3 linked regions of the Saccharomyces cerevisiae S288C genome follow. The gene in region 2 interacts genetically with the main gene of each other region. Each region holds a gene or a part of one and is shown on either strand. Other genes may lie near its edges.

Region 1 (8,474 bases), on a different chromosome or scaffold from region 2:
TCCACATTGTTTGAAGAAAGAGAAGCCATAGCCTCCCAGAAGGATCCAGAAAGAAGATCCCCTCTTCTACAGTCAATCCTAGGAACCTTCCAAAAATTTCATTTTCTACTGCGTTTACTACATTTCCTCTCAAATCCTAACGAACTTACAATACTGCCTCAATTGACTCCTCGATTTTTCAAGGATTCTTTCAATACAATTTCATGGAATAACCCGTTTTTGCGTAAGCGTCTCAACCAGCATATGTCCCATGACCTACCGAGACAGATGATTAAAGCCGTTGCTGGTGCTTCAGGAATTGTTGCGGAAAATATTGATGAAATTCCAGCTTCCAAACAGGGCACTTCATGCTCGTCAGAAACGTCTCACCATTCACCATCAGCCCCGTTTCAAAGAAGGAGAAGAGGTACCATTTTCTCTAATGTGTCAGGAAGTTCCGATGAGTCTGACACCATATGGTCCAAAAGGAAAAAACCATACCCGCTAAATGAAGAAACTCTAAGCCTTGTAAGGGCCAGGAAGAAGCAGCTTGATGGTAAACTAAAACAAATGATCAAAAGTGCTAATGAATATCTCAGTAACACGGCTAATTTTTCAAAAATGTTGAATTTTGAAATGAATTTCAAAACCTACGAAGAAGTAAGCGGAACAATTCCTATAATTGATATTCTGGAAAACCTAGATTTAACTATTTTTCTAAACTTGAGAGAGTTGGGAGATGAGAATAGAGTTTTTGACGAAGATGTCGCTATTGATGATGAAGATGAAGAGTTTTTGAAACATTCTTTATCATCCCTATCGTATATCTTATCCGACTATTTTAATATGAAGCAATATTTTCATGATGTAGTAGTGAAATTTATAATTGTCGCCCAGCATTTGACATTAGAGGATCCTTTCGTTTTCTCGCCAATGCAAAACGACTTGCCTACCGGTTATTATGAACCAATGAAACCTTCATCCTTGAATTTAGATAATGCCAAGGATAAGAAGAATGGGAGCCAAAATACTGATATCCAAGAGGAGGAAGATGAATATGAGCCAGACCCGGATAGTCTTATTCTCTTCCACAACCTCATCAATCAAGATTCTGATTTCAATGATTTAAAGTTTTTTAATCTCGCCCACGTTTTTAAAAAATCCTGTGATGACTATTTTGATGTGCTTAAACTAGCCATTGAGTTCGTGAATCAATTAATTCTAGAAAGAGAGAATTTGTTAAATTATGCTGCTAGAATGATGAAAAACAATATCACGGAATTGCTATTGCGCGGGGAAGAAGGCTATGGGTCCTATGACGGCGGTGAAACTGCCGAAAAAAGTGACACGAATGCTGTTTATGCAGATTCAGATACTAAAGACAATGACGAATGGCGTGACAGCCAAGTCAAATTACCGAGGTATTTGCAGCGCGAGTATGACAGTGAACTGATTTGGGGCTCTAACAATAGGATTAAAGGTGGTTCTAAACACGCACTGATCTCTTACTTGACAGATAATGAAAAGAAGGATCTATTTTTCGATATTACTTTTTTAATCACTTTCAGAAGCATCTTTACTACAACGGAGTTTTTAAGCTACTTGATTTCGCAATATAATTTGGATCCACCAGAGGATTTGTGCTTTGAAGAATACAATGAATGGGTGACGAAAAAGCTTATACCGGTTAAATGTAGGGTGGTTGAGATTATGACAACCTTTTTCAAGCAATATTGGTTCCTGGGCTATGATGAGCCCGATCTTGCGACCCTAAATCTGGATTATTTTGCGCAAGTAGCAATCAAGGAAAATATAACAGGATCTGTGGAATTACTAAAGGAGGTCAATCAGAAGTTTAAACATGGTAATATACAAGAAGCGACTGCACCAATGAAAACGTTAGATCAACAGATCTGCCAGGACCATTACTCGGGCACTTTATACTCTACCACGGAATCCATTTTGGCCGTCGATCCAGTTTTATTTGCCACTCAATTAACGATACTAGAGCATGAAATTTATTGTGAGATAACCATTTTTGATTGTTTACAAAAAATTTGGAAGAACAAGTATACAAAATCGTATGGGGCTTCACCGGGTTTGAACGAGTTTATCAGTTTTGCCAATAAACTGACAAATTTCATATCCTACTCTGTTGTAAAGGAGGCTGATAAAAGTAAGCGCGCCAAGCTACTCTCTCATTTTATTTTTATCGCAGAATATTGTAGGAAATTCAATAACTTTTCTTCCATGACTGCAATCATTTCAGCATTATATTCTTCACCAATTTATCGTTTAGAGAAAACCTGGCAGGCAGTTATTCCTCAAACGAGAGATCTATTGCAGTCACTGAACAAGTTGATGGATCCCAAGAAAAATTTCATAAATTACAGAAACGAGCTGAAATCTTTACATAGCGCTCCCTGCGTACCGTTTTTCGGCGTTTATTTATCTGATCTAACCTTTACTGATTCCGGAAATCCGGATTATCTTGTCTTGGAACATGGTTTAAAGGGTGTCCATGATGAGAAGAAATATATAAACTTCAACAAAAGGAGCAGACTTGTTGATATCTTACAAGAGATCATATATTTCAAGAAAACACATTATGATTTCACTAAAGATCGGACGGTAATTGAATGTATATCAAATTCATTGGAAAACATCCCCCATATTGAGAAACAATACCAATTATCATTAATTATTGAACCAAAACCAAGAAAGAAAGTCGTTCCGAATTCCAATTCGAATAATAAATCACAAGAAAAATCCAGGGATGACCAAACCGATGAAGGAAAAACATCCACTAAGAAAGACAGATTTCCAAAATTTCAATTACATAAGACAAAGAAAAAAGCTCCCAAGGTTTCTAAGTAACGGCGCCGTATGTTCGATTTCCTTCTCTCGGTGGATTAATTATTTTGTTTGTTTTCTCCTGTTATATTATTTATTGATCACTATAGTAAACTATGTCCGTCATCAAGCCCGACGGCTGCTATCCCACAATGTTGATCGTATTGTTTGCCTAGTTTATTATATATTTGCTTATTTATAGCATACCATAATATTTAAATGCCCTCAAATTTTTGGCCGTAGCGACATCGCGATAATTCCAATTCCCTTTAAAAAATTGCGCCTGAGTATAAGTTAATTCAGCCAGTTCTCCAAATTAAAATCGCATACTCCTGAACCTATCAACAGATTGTCCTCGCATACTTTTCTATACCAAGGTCTCTTCTGAACATATATTAGCAGTGGTTAATTTTAAAGAGATCATAAAGAAAATTTTGTCTAAAAAAGATTAATATAAAGACAATGTCTTCACTAGAAGTGGTAGATGGGTGCCCCTATGGATACCGACCATATCCAGATAGTGGCACAAATGCATTAAATCCATGTTTTATATCAGTAATATCCGCCTGGCAAGCCGTCTTTTTCCTATTGATTGGTAGCTATCAATTGTGGAAACTTTATAAGAACAATAAAGTACCACCCAGATTTAAGAACTTTCCTACATTACCAAGTAAAATCAACAGTCGACATCTAACGCATTTGACCAATGTTTGCTTTCAGTCCACGCTTATAATTTGTGAACTGGCCTTGGTATCCCAATCTAGCGATAGGGTTTATCCATTTATACTAAAGAAGGCTCTGTACTTGAATCTCCTTTTCAATTTGGGTATTTCTCTCCCTACTCAATACTTAGCTTATTTTAAAAGTACATTTTCAATGGGCAACCAGCTTTTCTATTACATGTTTCAAATTCTTCTACAGCTCTTCTTGATATTGCAGAGGTACTATCATGGTTCTAGTAACGAAAGGCTTACTGTTATTAGCGGACAAACTGCTATGATTTTAGAAGTGCTCCTTCTTTTCAATTCTGTGGCAATTTTTATTTATGATCTATGCATTTTTGAGCCAATTAACGAATTATCTGAATACTACAAGAAAAATGGGTGGTATCCCCCCGTTCATGTACTATCCTATATTACATTTATCTGGATGAACAAACTGATTGTGGAAACTTACCGTAACAAGAAAATCAAAGATCCTAACCAGTTACCATTGCCGCCAGTAGATCTGAATATTAAGTCGATAAGTAAGGAATTTAAGGCTAACTGGGAATTGGAAAAATGGTTGAATAGAAATTCTCTTTGGAGGGCCATTTGGAAGTCATTTGGTAGGACTATTTCTGTGGCTATGCTGTATGAAACGACATCTGATTTACTTTCTGTAGTACAGCCCCAGTTTCTACGGATATTCATAGATGGTTTGAACCCGGAAACATCTTCTAAATATCCTCCTTTAAATGGTGTATTTATTGCTCTAACCCTTTTCGTAATCAGCGTGGTTTCTGTGTTCCTCACCAATCAATTTTATATTGGAATTTTTGAGGCTGGTTTGGGGATAAGAGGCTCTTTAGCTTCTTTAGTGTATCAGAAGTCCTTAAGATTGACGCTAGCAGAGCGTAACGAAAAATCTACTGGTGACATCTTAAATTTGATGTCTGTGGATGTGTTAAGGATCCAGCGGTTTTTCGAAAATGCCCAAACCATTATTGGCGCTCCTATTCAGATTATTGTTGTATTAACTTCCCTGTACTGGTTGCTAGGAAAGGCTGTTATTGGAGGGTTGGTTACTATGGCTATTATGATGCCTATCAATGCCTTCTTATCTAGAAAGGTAAAAAAGCTATCAAAAACTCAAATGAAGTATAAGGACATGAGAATCAAGACTATTACAGAGCTTTTGAATGCTATAAAATCTATTAAATTATACGCCTGGGAGGAACCTATGATGGCAAGATTGAATCATGTTCGTAATGATATGGAGTTGAAAAATTTTCGGAAAATTGGTATAGTGAGCAATCTGATATATTTTGCGTGGAATTGTGTACCTTTAATGGTGACATGTTCCACATTTGGCTTATTTTCTTTATTTAGTGATTCTCCGTTATCTCCTGCCATTGTCTTCCCTTCATTATCTTTATTTAATATTTTGAACAGTGCCATCTATTCCGTTCCATCCATGATAAATACCATTATAGAGACAAGCGTTTCTATGGAAAGATTAAAGTCATTCCTACTTAGTGACGAAATTGATGATTCGTTCATCGAACGTATTGATCCTTCAGCGGATGAAAGAGCGTTACCTGCTATAGAGATGAATAATATTACATTTTTATGGAAATCAAAAGAAGTATTAACATCTAGCCAATCTGGAGATAATTTGAGGACAGATGAAGAGTCTATTATCGGATCTTCTCAAATTGCGTTGAAGAATATCGATCATTTTGAAGCAAAAAGGGGTGATTTAGTTTGTGTTGTTGGTCGGGTAGGAGCTGGTAAATCAACATTTTTGAAGGCAATTCTTGGTCAACTTCCTTGCATGAGTGGTTCTAGGGACTCGATACCACCTAAACTGATCATTAGATCATCGTCTGTAGCCTACTGTTCACAAGAATCCTGGATAATGAACGCATCTGTAAGAGAAAACATTCTATTTGGTCACAAGTTCGACCAAGATTATTATGACCTCACTATTAAAGCATGTCAATTGCTACCCGATTTGAAAATACTACCAGATGGTGATGAAACTTTGGTAGGTGAAAAGGGCATTTCCCTATCAGGCGGTCAGAAGGCCCGTCTTTCATTAGCCAGAGCGGTGTACTCGAGAGCAGATATTTATTTGTTGGATGACATTTTATCTGCTGTTGATGCAGAAGTTAGTAAAAATATTATTGAATATGTTTTGATCGGAAAGACGGCTTTATTAAAAAATAAAACAATTATTTTAACTACCAATACTGTATCAATTTTAAAACATTCGCAGATGATATATGCGCTAGAAAACGGTGAAATTGTTGAACAAGGGAATTATGAGGATGTAATGAACCGTAAGAACAATACTTCAAAACTGAAAAAATTACTAGAGGAATTTGATTCTCCGATTGATAATGGAAATGAAAGCGATGTCCAAACTGAACACCGATCCGAAAGTGAAGTGGATGAACCTCTGCAGCTTAAAGTAACTGAATCAGAAACTGAGGATGAGGTTGTTACTGAGAGTGAATTAGAACTAATCAAAGCCAATTCTAGAAGAGCTTCTCTAGCTACGCTAAGACCTAGACCCTTTGTGGGAGCACAATTGGATTCCGTGAAGAAAACGGCGCAAAAGGCCGAGAAGACAGAGGTGGGAAGAGTCAAAACAAAGATTTATCTTGCGTATATTAAGGCTTGTGGAGTTTTAGGTGTTGTTTTATTTTTCTTGTTTATGATATTAACAAGGGTTTTCGACTTAGCAGAGAATTTTTGGTTAAAGTACTGGTCAGAATCTAATGAAAAAAATGGTTCAAATGAAAGGGTTTGGATGTTTGTTGGTGTGTATTCCTTAATCGGAGTAGCATCGGCCGCATTCAATAATTTACGGAGTATTATGATGCTACTGTATTGTTCTATTAGGGGTTCTAAGAAACTGCATGAAAGCATGGCCAAATCTGTAATTAGAAGTCCTATGACTTTCTTTGAGACTACACCAGTTGGAAGGATCATAAACAGGTTCTCATCTGATATGGATGCAGTGGACAGTAATCTACAGTACATTTTCTCCTTTTTTTTCAAATCAATACTAACCTATTTGGTTACTGTTATATTAGTCGGGTACAATATGCCATGGTTTTTAGTGTTCAATATGTTTTTGGTGGTTATCTATATTTACTATCAAACATTTTACATTGTGCTATCTAGGGAGCTAAAAAGATTGATCAGTATATCTTACTCTCCGATTATGTCCTTAATGAGTGAGAGCTTGAACGGTTATTCTATTATTGATGCATACGATCATTTTGAGAGATTCATCTATCTAAATTATGAAAAAATCCAATACAACGTTGATTTTGTCTTCAACTTTAGATCAACGAATAGATGGTTATCCGTGAGATTGCAAACTATTGGTGCTACAATTGTTTTGGCTACTGCAATCTTAGCACTAGCAACAATGAATACTAAAAGGCAACTAAGTTCGGGTATGGTTGGTCTACTAATGAGCTATTCATTAGAGGTTACAGGTTCATTGACTTGGATTGTAAGGACAACTGTGACGATTGAAACCAACATTGTATCAGTGGAGAGAATTGTTGAGTACTGCGAATTACCACCTGAAGCACAGTCCATTAACCCTGAAAAGAGGCCAGATGAAAATTGGCCATCAAAGGGTGGTATTGAATTCAAAAACTATTCCACAAAATACAGAGAAAATTTGGATCCAGTGCTGAATAATATTAACGTGAAGATTGAGCCATGTGAAAAGGTTGGGATTGTTGGCAGAACAGGTGCAGGGAAGTCTACACTGAGCCTGGCATTATTTAGAATACTAGAACCTACCGAAGGTAAAATTATTATTGACGGCATTGATATATCCGACATAGGTCTGTTCGATTTAAGAAGCCATTTGGCAATTATTCCTCAGGATGCACAAGCTTTTGAAGGTACAGTAAAGACCAATTTGGACCCTTTCAATCGTTATTCAGAAGATGAACTTAAAAGGGCTGTTGAGCAGGCACATTTAAAGCCTCATCTGGAAAAAATGCTGCACAGTAAACCAAGAGGTGATGATTCTAATGAAGAGGATGGCAATGTTAATGATATTCTGGATGTCAAGATTAATGAGAACGGTAGTAACTTGTCAGTGGGGCAAAGACAACTACTATGTTTGGCAAGAGCGCTGCTAAACCGTTCCAAAATATTGGTCCTTGATGAAGCAACGGCTTCTGTGGATATGGAAACCGATAAAATTATCCAAGACACTATAAGAAGAGAATTTAAGGACCGTACCATCTTAACAATTGCACATCGTATCGACACTGTATTGGACAGTGATAAGATAATTGTTCTTGACCAGGGTAGTGTGAGGGAATTCGATTCACCCTCGAAATTGTTATCCGATAAAACGTCTATTTTTTACAGTCTTTGTGAGAAAGGTGGGTATTTGAAATAATGACATTGATTATTATATATGAAGATATAGAACATTTAATGCGCTGCAATATGTACGGTCACGCCAATTCTTTTTCTTTCTATATGCTTTCTAGTAACCCGGGTAATCACAAATGAAGCTAGTAGAGATATAACTAAATACAACTTAATTTTAACCTTATGTTGGATTGCTCAAGCAGTGTTCGAGAAAGACAGCGGCAGACAGATAGAAATGAGCTCAAATGAAGAGGTATTTACTCAGATAAACGCAACTGCGAATGTGGTTGATAATAAGAAGCGTTTACTTTTCGTGCAAGATAGCTCAGCACTTGTTCTAGGGCTTGTTGCAGGATTTTTGCAAATCGAGTCAGTCCATGGGTTTATTTGGTTCCTGATTCTGTACAACTTGATTAATGTCATTTACATTGTTTGGATCTGTCAACTTCAACCAGGAAAGTTCTACCAAAGCCCACTTCATGACATTTTTTTCGAATCGTTTTTTAGAGAGATAACTGGTTTTGT
Region 2 (5,099 bases):
TCTACTCTTCGTCATTGCCAAAGAAGACGAAGAAACCCTCCTCCTATGTCATGGTTCCCAGACCTTAAAAAAACCAGGATTTTGTGTATTCCCTTGTAAATATATAGATGACAATTGAAAGAACAGCGCTAACAATGTGCGTATTCTAATATAGTGTTTTTTTTTTTTTCCAACTAGAGAAAAAAATGAAAAATGTAAGAGAAACAAAACAGAAGAAACAAGAGAGAATAGCGTCAGGATAGCTCGCTCGATGTGATCAGGCTAACACAATGAACAACGAGACTAGTGGTAAAGAAACGGCGTCTGCACCTCTGTGTTCGCCCAAGTTACCTGTAGAAAAAGTGCAGAGAATAGCCAAGAATGATCCAGAATATATGGACACTTCGGATGACGCATTCGTAGCCACAGCGTTTGCTACAGAATTCTTCGTCCAGGTGCTGACACATGAGTCCCTACATAGGCAACAGCAGCAGCAACAACAACAGGTACCGCCGCTCCCAGATGAACTCACGCTGTCGTACGATGACATCTCTGCCGCAATTGTGCACTCTTCTGACGGCCATCTGCAGTTTTTGAATGATGTGATACCAACAACAAAGAATTTGAGGCTTCTAGTGGAAGAAAACCGAGTTAGATATACTACAAGTGTCATGCCCCCTAATGAAGTTTACTCCGCCTATGTGGTGAACGATACGGCTCCGAAGCCCAACATTGTCGAGATTGATCTTGATAATGACGAAGACGACGACGAAGACGTTACTGATCAAGAATAACTACACAAGCACATTGCATAGAAGGATTTTTCTTCTCTCTCTCACGATCTGTAGAACAACATAGTTTCTTTATACGTTAATTAAGTAAAGGGGAAAAAAAAAATATTAAGCCTTGAATTTAGGAGGTTACAAACGAAAAGGACAAGAAAGACAAAGGAAACCGACAAACCGTTTACTCGATATGGGCTTTTATGAAGGCGATGACAATGATGCCAACACCAAGGCATTTAATGACAAATATATCAAAGATCAAAAGTTCGCAACGGCACCCTTCTGGAACCTCTTTCCAAAGTTAAGGGATATTGATGAATACGATAATCCACTCCTACCACTGCCCTTCAATTTCAACTTCAGAGATCTTGGAGATAGTGCACTTGCCATGGCGTCCGGAATCCCTACGGTGAAGCAGTTTGACAAGTGCGAAGAACTTAAGGGCCAGTCTGCATGGACCACCCAAGGGATTTGGAAATGTCTTGTCCCAAGTAAGGCTATCCCCCCTCTACCACAATTGGACTTCCTCTTACCTCTGGAGGAGATCAAATCTGACAAGTCGCACTCTCATGGGTTGTTCTTCAATGATTTCAACCTCTTTTTGAAGTGGAGGTCGCACATGAATAGACTACAAAAACAAAGAATCAAGACTAGGAGCACTGCCGTAGAGCCTCTGGCTAGAACTCCAGAAGACCTCATGTTGAATTGGGACGACTTGCATCTGGGCAACGATGCTGAATATGCTTCTGCAGATGGATCCAAGAAAATTGTTGGAAGGGCACAGTCCATTAGTACCACGAAGGATTCCAATGATGCAAAACCCAGCACCGTCAAAACTGAAAAAATCTACTTTGACGATGGCACGGTAGACATTACTACCACCACTACCTCCAAGGGTTCCAGTCCCCAGGTGAAGCATAAAGTGGTGAGTGTTGACGAAGACAATTAGGACATATTTTCGTTTCCTTTTTTTACTCATATCTTACACAATATGCCTTGTATATATCGCACGATTATGACCTTGCGCGTGTGGAAAACATGCGACTGCTAAGGGGAGATCCACACACACACACACAAAAGATCAATACACATTTTTGACAATATATAGCATCAATAAAATACATATAAGCGATTCACATAGTTCAATATGAAGGTTGTTAAGGAATTTAGTGTCTGTGGTGGCAGATTGATCAAGTTGTCACATAACTCGAACTCTACCAAGACCAGCATGAACGTCAATATCTATTTGCCTAAGCACTATTACGCCCAAGATTTTCCAAGAAATAAGCGTATCCCAACTGTGTTTTACCTTTCTGGCTTGACGTGCACGCCAGACAACGCCTCTGAGAAGGCTTTTTGGCAGTTTCAAGCTGACAAGTACGGATTTGCAATAGTCTTTCCGGATACGTCCCCACGTGGTGACGAAGTAGCCAATGATCCTGAGGGCTCCTGGGATTTTGGACAGGGCGCCGGATTCTATCTAAATGCCACCCAAGAACCATACGCCCAACATTACCAGATGTACGACTACATTCACAAAGAACTCCCACAAACATTAGATTCTCATTTTAACAAGAACGGTGACGTAAAGCTGGACTTCTTGGACAATGTTGCCATCACAGGCCATTCGATGGGGGGATATGGTGCAATTTGTGGGTATTTGAAGGGCTATTCCGGAAAGAGATACAAATCTTGTTCTGCCTTCGCCCCTATCGTGAACCCTTCCAACGTTCCCTGGGGTCAAAAAGCGTTTAAAGGTTATCTGGGCGAAGAAAAAGCCCAGTGGGAAGCGTACGACCCATGTTTATTAATCAAGAATATTAGACATGTGGGCGACGACAGAATTTTGATCCATGTAGGAGACTCCGATCCCTTTTTGGAAGAACACTTGAAACCGGAATTACTACTTGAGGCGGTGAAAGCCACTTCATGGCAGGACTACGTGGAAATAAAAAAAGTTCACGGCTTTGATCACTCCTATTACTTTGTCAGCACTTTCGTTCCAGAACATGCTGAATTTCATGCGCGAAACTTGGGTTTGATTTGAGAGGCATCGCATTTCATTATGGTAATTTTTATGACTTTTCTATGTACATATTTAGTGAAATATACGTCCGTAGAAAAAAATGGCCAAACATAGTTATCCTTTCAAAGGTTATTCGCAGTAGATTTTATGTCACCTGTAACTTCCATTACTATTGCTATTATGTGGTTAATTGGCATCACATCCGACGAATTTAATAATATGAAATGAAAAAAACGAAAAATAAAAAAATTTCACCTCATCTCATCGATCACTCTGGTCCTGTTGTGGTATCGTTCTTGAAAGTGTATATCAGCCTACATTAGTGCGACAATGACAATGGCAACAACCGCAATGAATGTTAGCGTACCTCCACCAGATGAAGAAGAACAGTTACTAGCCAAATTTGTATTCGGTGATACAACAGATTTACAAGAAAATCTCGCTAAATTTAATGCCGATTTCATTTTCAATGAACAAGAAATGGATGTTGAAGACCAGGAGGATGAGGGATCTGAATCAGATAACAGTGAAGAAGATGAAGCGCAGAACGGTGAATTAGACCATGTTAACAACGATCAGTTATTTTTTGTGGACGATGGTGGTAACGAAGATAGTCAAGATAAGAATGAAGATACCATGGACGTGGATGACGAAGATGACTCTTCAAGCGATGATTATTCTGAGGACTCTGAAGAAGCTGCTTGGATAGATTCGGATGATGAAAAAATTAAAGTGCCTATTCTTGTTACCAATAAGACAAAGAAATTAAGAACCTCCTATAACGAGTCCAAAATCAACGGTGTTCATTACATCAACAGATTGAGATCTCAGTTTGAAAAGATATATCCAAGGCCCAAATGGGTGGACGATGAATCTGATTCTGAATTAGATGACGAAGAAGACGATGAAGAAGAAGGCTCTAATAATGTTATTAATGGAGATATTAATGCTCTAACGAAGATCCTGTCTACTACTTACAATTATAAAGACACTTTATCGAATTCCAAACTATTACCCCCTAAGAAACTTGACATTGTGCGTCTTAAAGATGCAAATGCATCACACCCGTCTCATTCCGCCATACAATCTCTTTCATTCCATCCTTCTAAGCCTCTACTGTTAACGGGTGGGTATGATAAGACCTTAAGAATATATCATATTGACGGGAAAACGAACCATCTAGTGACAAGTTTGCACCTGGTTGGGTCTCCAATACAAACATGTACTTTCTATACTTCTCTATCAAACCAAAATCAACAAAATATATTCACCGCCGGTAGAAGAAGATATATGCATTCCTGGGACTTATCCTTAGAAAATTTAACTCATTCACAGACTGCCAAAATCGAAAAATTTTCCAGATTGTATGGACATGAGTCCACTCAAAGATCATTTGAGAATTTCAAAGTTGCACATTTGCAGAATTCACAAACAAATTCTGTCCATGGAATTGTCCTTTTACAGGGTAATAATGGTTGGATTAACATTTTACATTCCACTTCCGGACTATGGTTAATGGGCTGCAAGATAGAAGGTGTGATAACGGATTTCTGTATCGATTATCAACCTATTTCACGTGGTAAGTTTAGGACCATTTTAATTGCTGTAAACGCGTATGGTGAAGTGTGGGAATTTGACTTGAATAAGAATGGCCATGTTATAAGAAGATGGAAAGACCAAGGTGGCGTGGGTATAACAAAAATCCAAGTTGGTGGTGGGACAACAACTACTTGTCCGGCTCTTCAAATAAGTAAGATAAAGCAAAATAGGTGGCTTGCGGTAGGTAGTGAGAGTGGATTTGTTAATCTTTACGATAGAAATAATGCTATGACCTCGTCGACCCCTACACCTGTCGCCGCCTTGGACCAGCTAACAACTACCATTTCTAATCTACAATTTTCCCCTGATGGTCAAATACTGTGCATGGCATCCCGTGCAGTCAAGGATGCTTTGAGACTAGTTCATCTGCCTTCTTGTAGCGTGTTCAGCAACTGGCCTACCAGCGGGACGCCTTTGGGTAAAGTTACCAGTGTCGCATTTTCGCCATCTGGTGGGCTACTGGCCGTGGGTAACGAACAAGGTAAAGTGAGGCTCTGGAAATTAAACCACTACTAAATTTCCATTTATAGACAAACTTAGATATTAAAAGCAATGTACAAATACATACACAAAATATCACTGTAAAAAAATTGCGAAGAAACTTGAAATTGAATATGATTCTGCCCACTTTTTTCTTGCTGTCATTTATAGTCAGAAATGAAAAATTGTCCGAGAAATTAAATATAATATATGGAAAAAAAGGGGACATT
Region 3 (4,805 bases), on a different chromosome or scaffold from region 2:
TATGTTCAATGAATTTATTGTTATTCTTATTGCTGTTGTTATTATTGTTAACTGTCTATTAACTTTCAAATATCTTGACGATGGTCTTTTACCAATGACAAGGTTCAAGAATGAAGAGAACCACAAACACAGTCAGGTCCTTACTACTGCACATTACGACAGCCTTTATATACATTTTATCAAAAGCATTAACTAATGTGTTGCTAATAATCGCATCTGCCGGTCTTGTGCTACAGCCGTGGTGGTTAACCCCCTTGCTTAGTTCTCCTTATCATATCTGAGCTAACCAATGCCACTATCCCCCTTCAAATTGCCTAGGTTAATCATCTAATTACCGACATGTAATCTCCTCACCCCGCACGGCCACTACTAAGAAACTTCCGCGGAAGGGATTTCAGTTTCTTCCGTAATGCTGAACCCTATTTGCATAGTAAATTAAAAGTAGATTACACTACTACATACACAGATAGTTACGAACAAAAAGAAAATAGCGCTTACGGCTAAAAAACGTCTCCCTGGTCAAGCATTGCGTCAGCCACCATGACGAAGCTGGCAATGTTGGCCCCCTTGACCAATGATGGCAAGGTGTTTGTATTTTTTTCCGTAGAGTACTCTTGTGCGGCCTGTATGCAGTCGTTGAAGCAGTTGATCATTATCTTCTTTAGTTCTTGATCGACCCGCTCGGCAGTCCAAGTTACTTTTTGAGAATTCTGAGCCATTTCCAGACCGGATACTGCCACGCCGCCCAGGTTAGCTGCCTTTGGTGGCCCAAACCAAACTGCATCCTTTGCATTGGTTGCAGTGCTACGCGCTGTTTCGAAAACAGAAATAGCCTCGGGTGTAGAACCCATGTTAGCACCTTCGGCAACGAACTTAACGCCAGATGCCACTAGGGCCTTGGCTTCGTCACCACTGACCTCGTTTTGGGTGGCACAGGGCAAGGCAATGTCGACGTTGCTCACATGCGTCCATGGGCGTGCTCCTGCAACGTACTTCATCTTACTTTCGCTGAAAGTAGAGTATTCATCAACGATTTCCTCTAACGACTTGAAACGGATCTTGGCGGAAGCGATATCGTGAATTTGCTCAGAAGTAATGCCCGTCTCAGAGATGATGCACCCCTTCGAATCGGATAAAGACACCACAATACCACCCAGCTCGATCACTTTCAAAGCTGCATATTGCGCAACATTGCCACTTCCGGAGATTGTCACACGTTTGCCCTCAAACGACTCCTTGCCGTTTGTTGCATAATCGATCATTGCTTGCGTATAGTAAACTAAGCCGAACCCGGTGGCCTCCGGCCTGATAAGTGAGCCACCCCAGTTTAAACCCTTACCAGTCAACACACCTTCCCAGGAGTTCTTGTATGATCTGTAAGCGCCGAATAGGTAGCCAATTTCACGGCCACCGACACCAATATCTCCTGCGGGCACGTCTGTGTCCTTACCAATATGCCTGCTCAGTTCTCTCATGAACGCATAACAAATCCTTCTGATCTCGTTGTCAGACTTGCCTTTCAAGTCCACACACAGGCCACCCTTACCACCGCCCATATCTAGCCCAGTGAGCGCATTCTTGAAGATCTGTTCAAAACCCAAAAATTTTAGGATAGACAGGTTCACTGATGGGTGGAAGCGTAGGCCACCCTTGTAAGGGCCCTTGGCTGAATTGAACTGCACCCTGTATCCTTGAGCCACTTCTTGCTCGCCATTATCATTTTCCCACGTGACCCTGAATTGAATGATCCTCTCCGGGACAGAAACAATAGGTAACACTTTTTTATACTGTGGGAATTTTTCAAAAATTTTGGAATCCTCCACAGAAGAAACGATCTCATCGTAAGCCTGCTGAAACTCTGGTTCGCTTGTCATTTTTTACTTTTTACCTTTTCTTTTCGGTGACTGTTGCTACTTCCCTATATATATATATATATGTGTGTGTGTGTGTGTGTGTGGCCTATGTATGTACCTTTATATAACTGAGTTCGAACGGCTCAAAGTCAGAAGTCATTAACTGTTTATGTGAAAGTGAAATAAAAAGAAATACTCTTTTTAAGAAAGGCATCATGGTCATCACTTTTTCCATATTAACCAACGATAAAACTGTCCCTTTAATATCAATACTGCTTATCGATAAGATAAGTAATATACCCTTTAAAATCTCATTGGCTCCCTCTCCGCATTTTTTCCTTTCTTCAAAGAGCTGGGCCAATCAAGCAAACTGAACGGGAAGAAAAAGAAAAGTTGGTATAATATTTTTAGTTTTTAAGTGCAGAATATCTGTCAGCAGCCATATATATATATATATATATATATGTATATGCCTCCTATGCCTTCTTTTTAATGGGCGTTAATTACTTTGGCAAGTGCTCCGTTTTATCATACTTTACTTTTTCTTTTTTTGAAAGTTCTCAGAGACCCAACAAAACTTAAAAATAAAACAAAAAAAACAAGCTGCCACAAGTATGTTTATAGAAGAAAACTTTGAAAGCGTTTTATTTTGCAAGAATAATAGCTTCTACACTTTGAATTCTGAAACAATCCGGTGCTTGTTAGTTGTAATTTTTCTATTTAAAGTTGAAGTTCAGCTACATATAACAAATTATGCCTCACTTGATATTACCAGCTCACTTAAATTTCATCTTAACATTAAAATATTTACAGCCTAGCTTAAACTCACTCTGAAGACCTTCTGCACAATGTACAGGTACATCGTAAATAAAAAATTTGTTATGAATCTTGTGCGTCATTGAAATACATTGCCTATGAATTGGTCAATGGATTACGCAACATCAGCTTTTTAATTTAACAGTAAGTGTTTAGTAGTAACAATGATCGCCATTTTGAACGATAAATGCCTTGACGGTTTTTACAACATTGCGATTAACATTTTTACGACTTTTACAGGATTCTGCGTTCATGCATTTGGATGAATATCTCTTCCTCGCTGTTCAGCAAGAGAACAAACGACGTATTACTGGTCATTCGATCACAACATTTATGCGCCTTTCCTTCGCCAAGAAGTCAAGAAGTATTCCATGAACCGTAGTCTAAGAGATTTTTATTAGAAGATCATATAACCGCACGTCCATAGCCTGAGGGGGGGTTCTGTGGAAAGCTAAAGATATCGCACTTATTGAAAAATATAGGCGATACATAAATTTCTCAAAGTAAGTAAACAATAGTTTAAACCCAAATTTACACCGACAGTGCCGCTGCTAGCTTAAACAGGAATTGACCATTTATTGTAATTCCATATGCCAAGTAGGCTTTTCATTTTTGCATCTTCAATACATTAAAGTTAACGTATACTCGACAAGTGGTGCATTGAAAAAAAAAAATCGAATTTTCTATGTGGAAAATACACCCAAAAATGTTCTTCAGAATGTATACTTCGCTAAACCAATTAATGTGCCTATGCAAAAACTTTGAACAAATCAAGAAATTTTTTTGGACATGGATTGACCAGAGATTGACGTAACTCATGCCCTGTCAATGATTTTAGCTTGTGCGACGAAACGTACTTCTCTGAGAAAATCCAGACGAAAAAAAATGACACCAAAATCCCGTCATTATTTACGTTCGAAAAGAAAAAAGTAGGCAATATTTCCCTTTTCGTTTCTTGCCTCTTCTTATGTCATAAGAAACTTACGTGATAAACCAATCGAAAAAGGAAACAAGAAAAAGACAAAAAGGGAAAGCTCTGATGCACCATTAATCTGGTGAAAAAGTAGTGCGAAGGCAACTATTCCATGAACTGATTTTCATTGTAGAAACAATCATTATTGTTTTCTCAAAATTTCTATAATTTTATTGATTAAATATCAGCACCTCCATAACCACCTTGATATGCTCTGATAGACAATCAATGCATAGCTAGTAAACCGAAAATAAACTACAAAAACGTGGATGAAAAATATACGGTTTACTATTCCTTAACTTAATATCAGTAACAGACCGGCTGGAACAAATTTTTCACGAGTAAAAATTTGGTCAAGCAGTTATAGTGTAGTGTCTTCAAAGTATTTTTACCGTATTGTAACTTTTCAATTTTCCAGCCACACGTGAAGTAAGCTGCAAACTAACAAGTGTTTGCAGCGCTCTAGGGAGTTTTCTCTATGACGTAACTTGGCTGCCTTTTCTTCAAAAAAAAAAGGATCTAATCTCTGAAAAACGGAGTTGCCTTCCAAGTGCAGCAAGCTTGGCAGGTATGATTTCAAAAACCATGAGAAAAAAAGCGTATATAGTTACCTTGCTGAAATGCCGGTATATTTTGATTGCACCCAGCTGGGACATGTGAATAAGTCTCAAAAGTGGAACGAATTACCTCAAAGCCATTATTTTTTGAAAATGCATCAATCATATTTTTGTGTGACAGACTTACTGCACACTGGTTTTAAAGGACGTATAAGAATTAAGTATAACTAACCAATAAATACTTTTAAGGTTTAAAATATTCACAACACATCCCGTCAGTGTCCGCAACAAAAAGTGGCTGTGAAATTAGGTATCTCTTGTTTACTTTCGAGATCAGAGGTCACATAGGGCACTCAAAAGGGTAGTCAGCTCACTTTAGTATTTAAGATACACCGACGCCATGTAAGAGGCAGGAACCGAAAAAAATATACAGCACCTGCCTGCTCCTTTTTCAGGGAATACCGTGCGATGTCAAATTTTTTGCTGCTTTGTAAGCTAACCTTAATTTTAGTCGGCTGACAAAATTCACTTTCCTATGGCTATTTCTGTGTTTTTTTTGTATCGCGCTTACTAGGTGAAAACTTTATTTGACATTAAAGTTACATG

The links.
Region 1: mutations in YJL068C (region 2) and BPT1 together harm fitness more than expected from each alone (negative genetic interaction), as found in Saccharomyces cerevisiae (2 studies listed by BioGRID).
Region 3: mutations in YJL068C (region 2) and GDH3 together harm fitness more than expected from each alone (negative genetic interaction), as found in Saccharomyces cerevisiae (2 studies listed by BioGRID).

What each region holds. Positions count from the first base shown.
Region 1 is NC_001144.5:113,138-121,611, forward strand, and holds BPT1 (ATP-binding cassette bilirubin transporter BPT1), read left to right. Parts: upstream 1-3,294; coding exon 3,295-7,974; downstream 7,975-8,474. Other genes in the region: EMC6 (Emc6p), read left to right, coding at 8,185-8,474. UniProt on the Saccharomyces cerevisiae protein: Cooperates for the ATP-dependent vacuolar transport of bilirubin and glutathione conjugates.
Region 2 is NC_001142.9:310,728-315,826, reverse strand, and holds YJL068C (S-formylglutathione hydrolase), read left to right. Parts: upstream 1-1,911; coding exon 1,912-2,811; downstream 2,812-5,099. Other genes in the region: mitochondrial 54S ribosomal protein bL17m MRPL8, read left to right, coding at 1-68; DLS1 (Dls1p), read left to right, coding at 270-773; MPM1 (Mpm1p), read left to right, coding at 955-1,713; UTP18 (Utp18p), read left to right, coding at 3,121-4,905. UniProt on the Saccharomyces cerevisiae protein: Serine hydrolase involved in the detoxification of formaldehyde.
Region 3 is NC_001133.9:28,636-33,440, reverse strand, and holds GDH3 (glutamate dehydrogenase (NADP(+)) GDH3), read right to left. Parts: upstream 1,875-4,805; coding exon 501-1,874; downstream 1-500.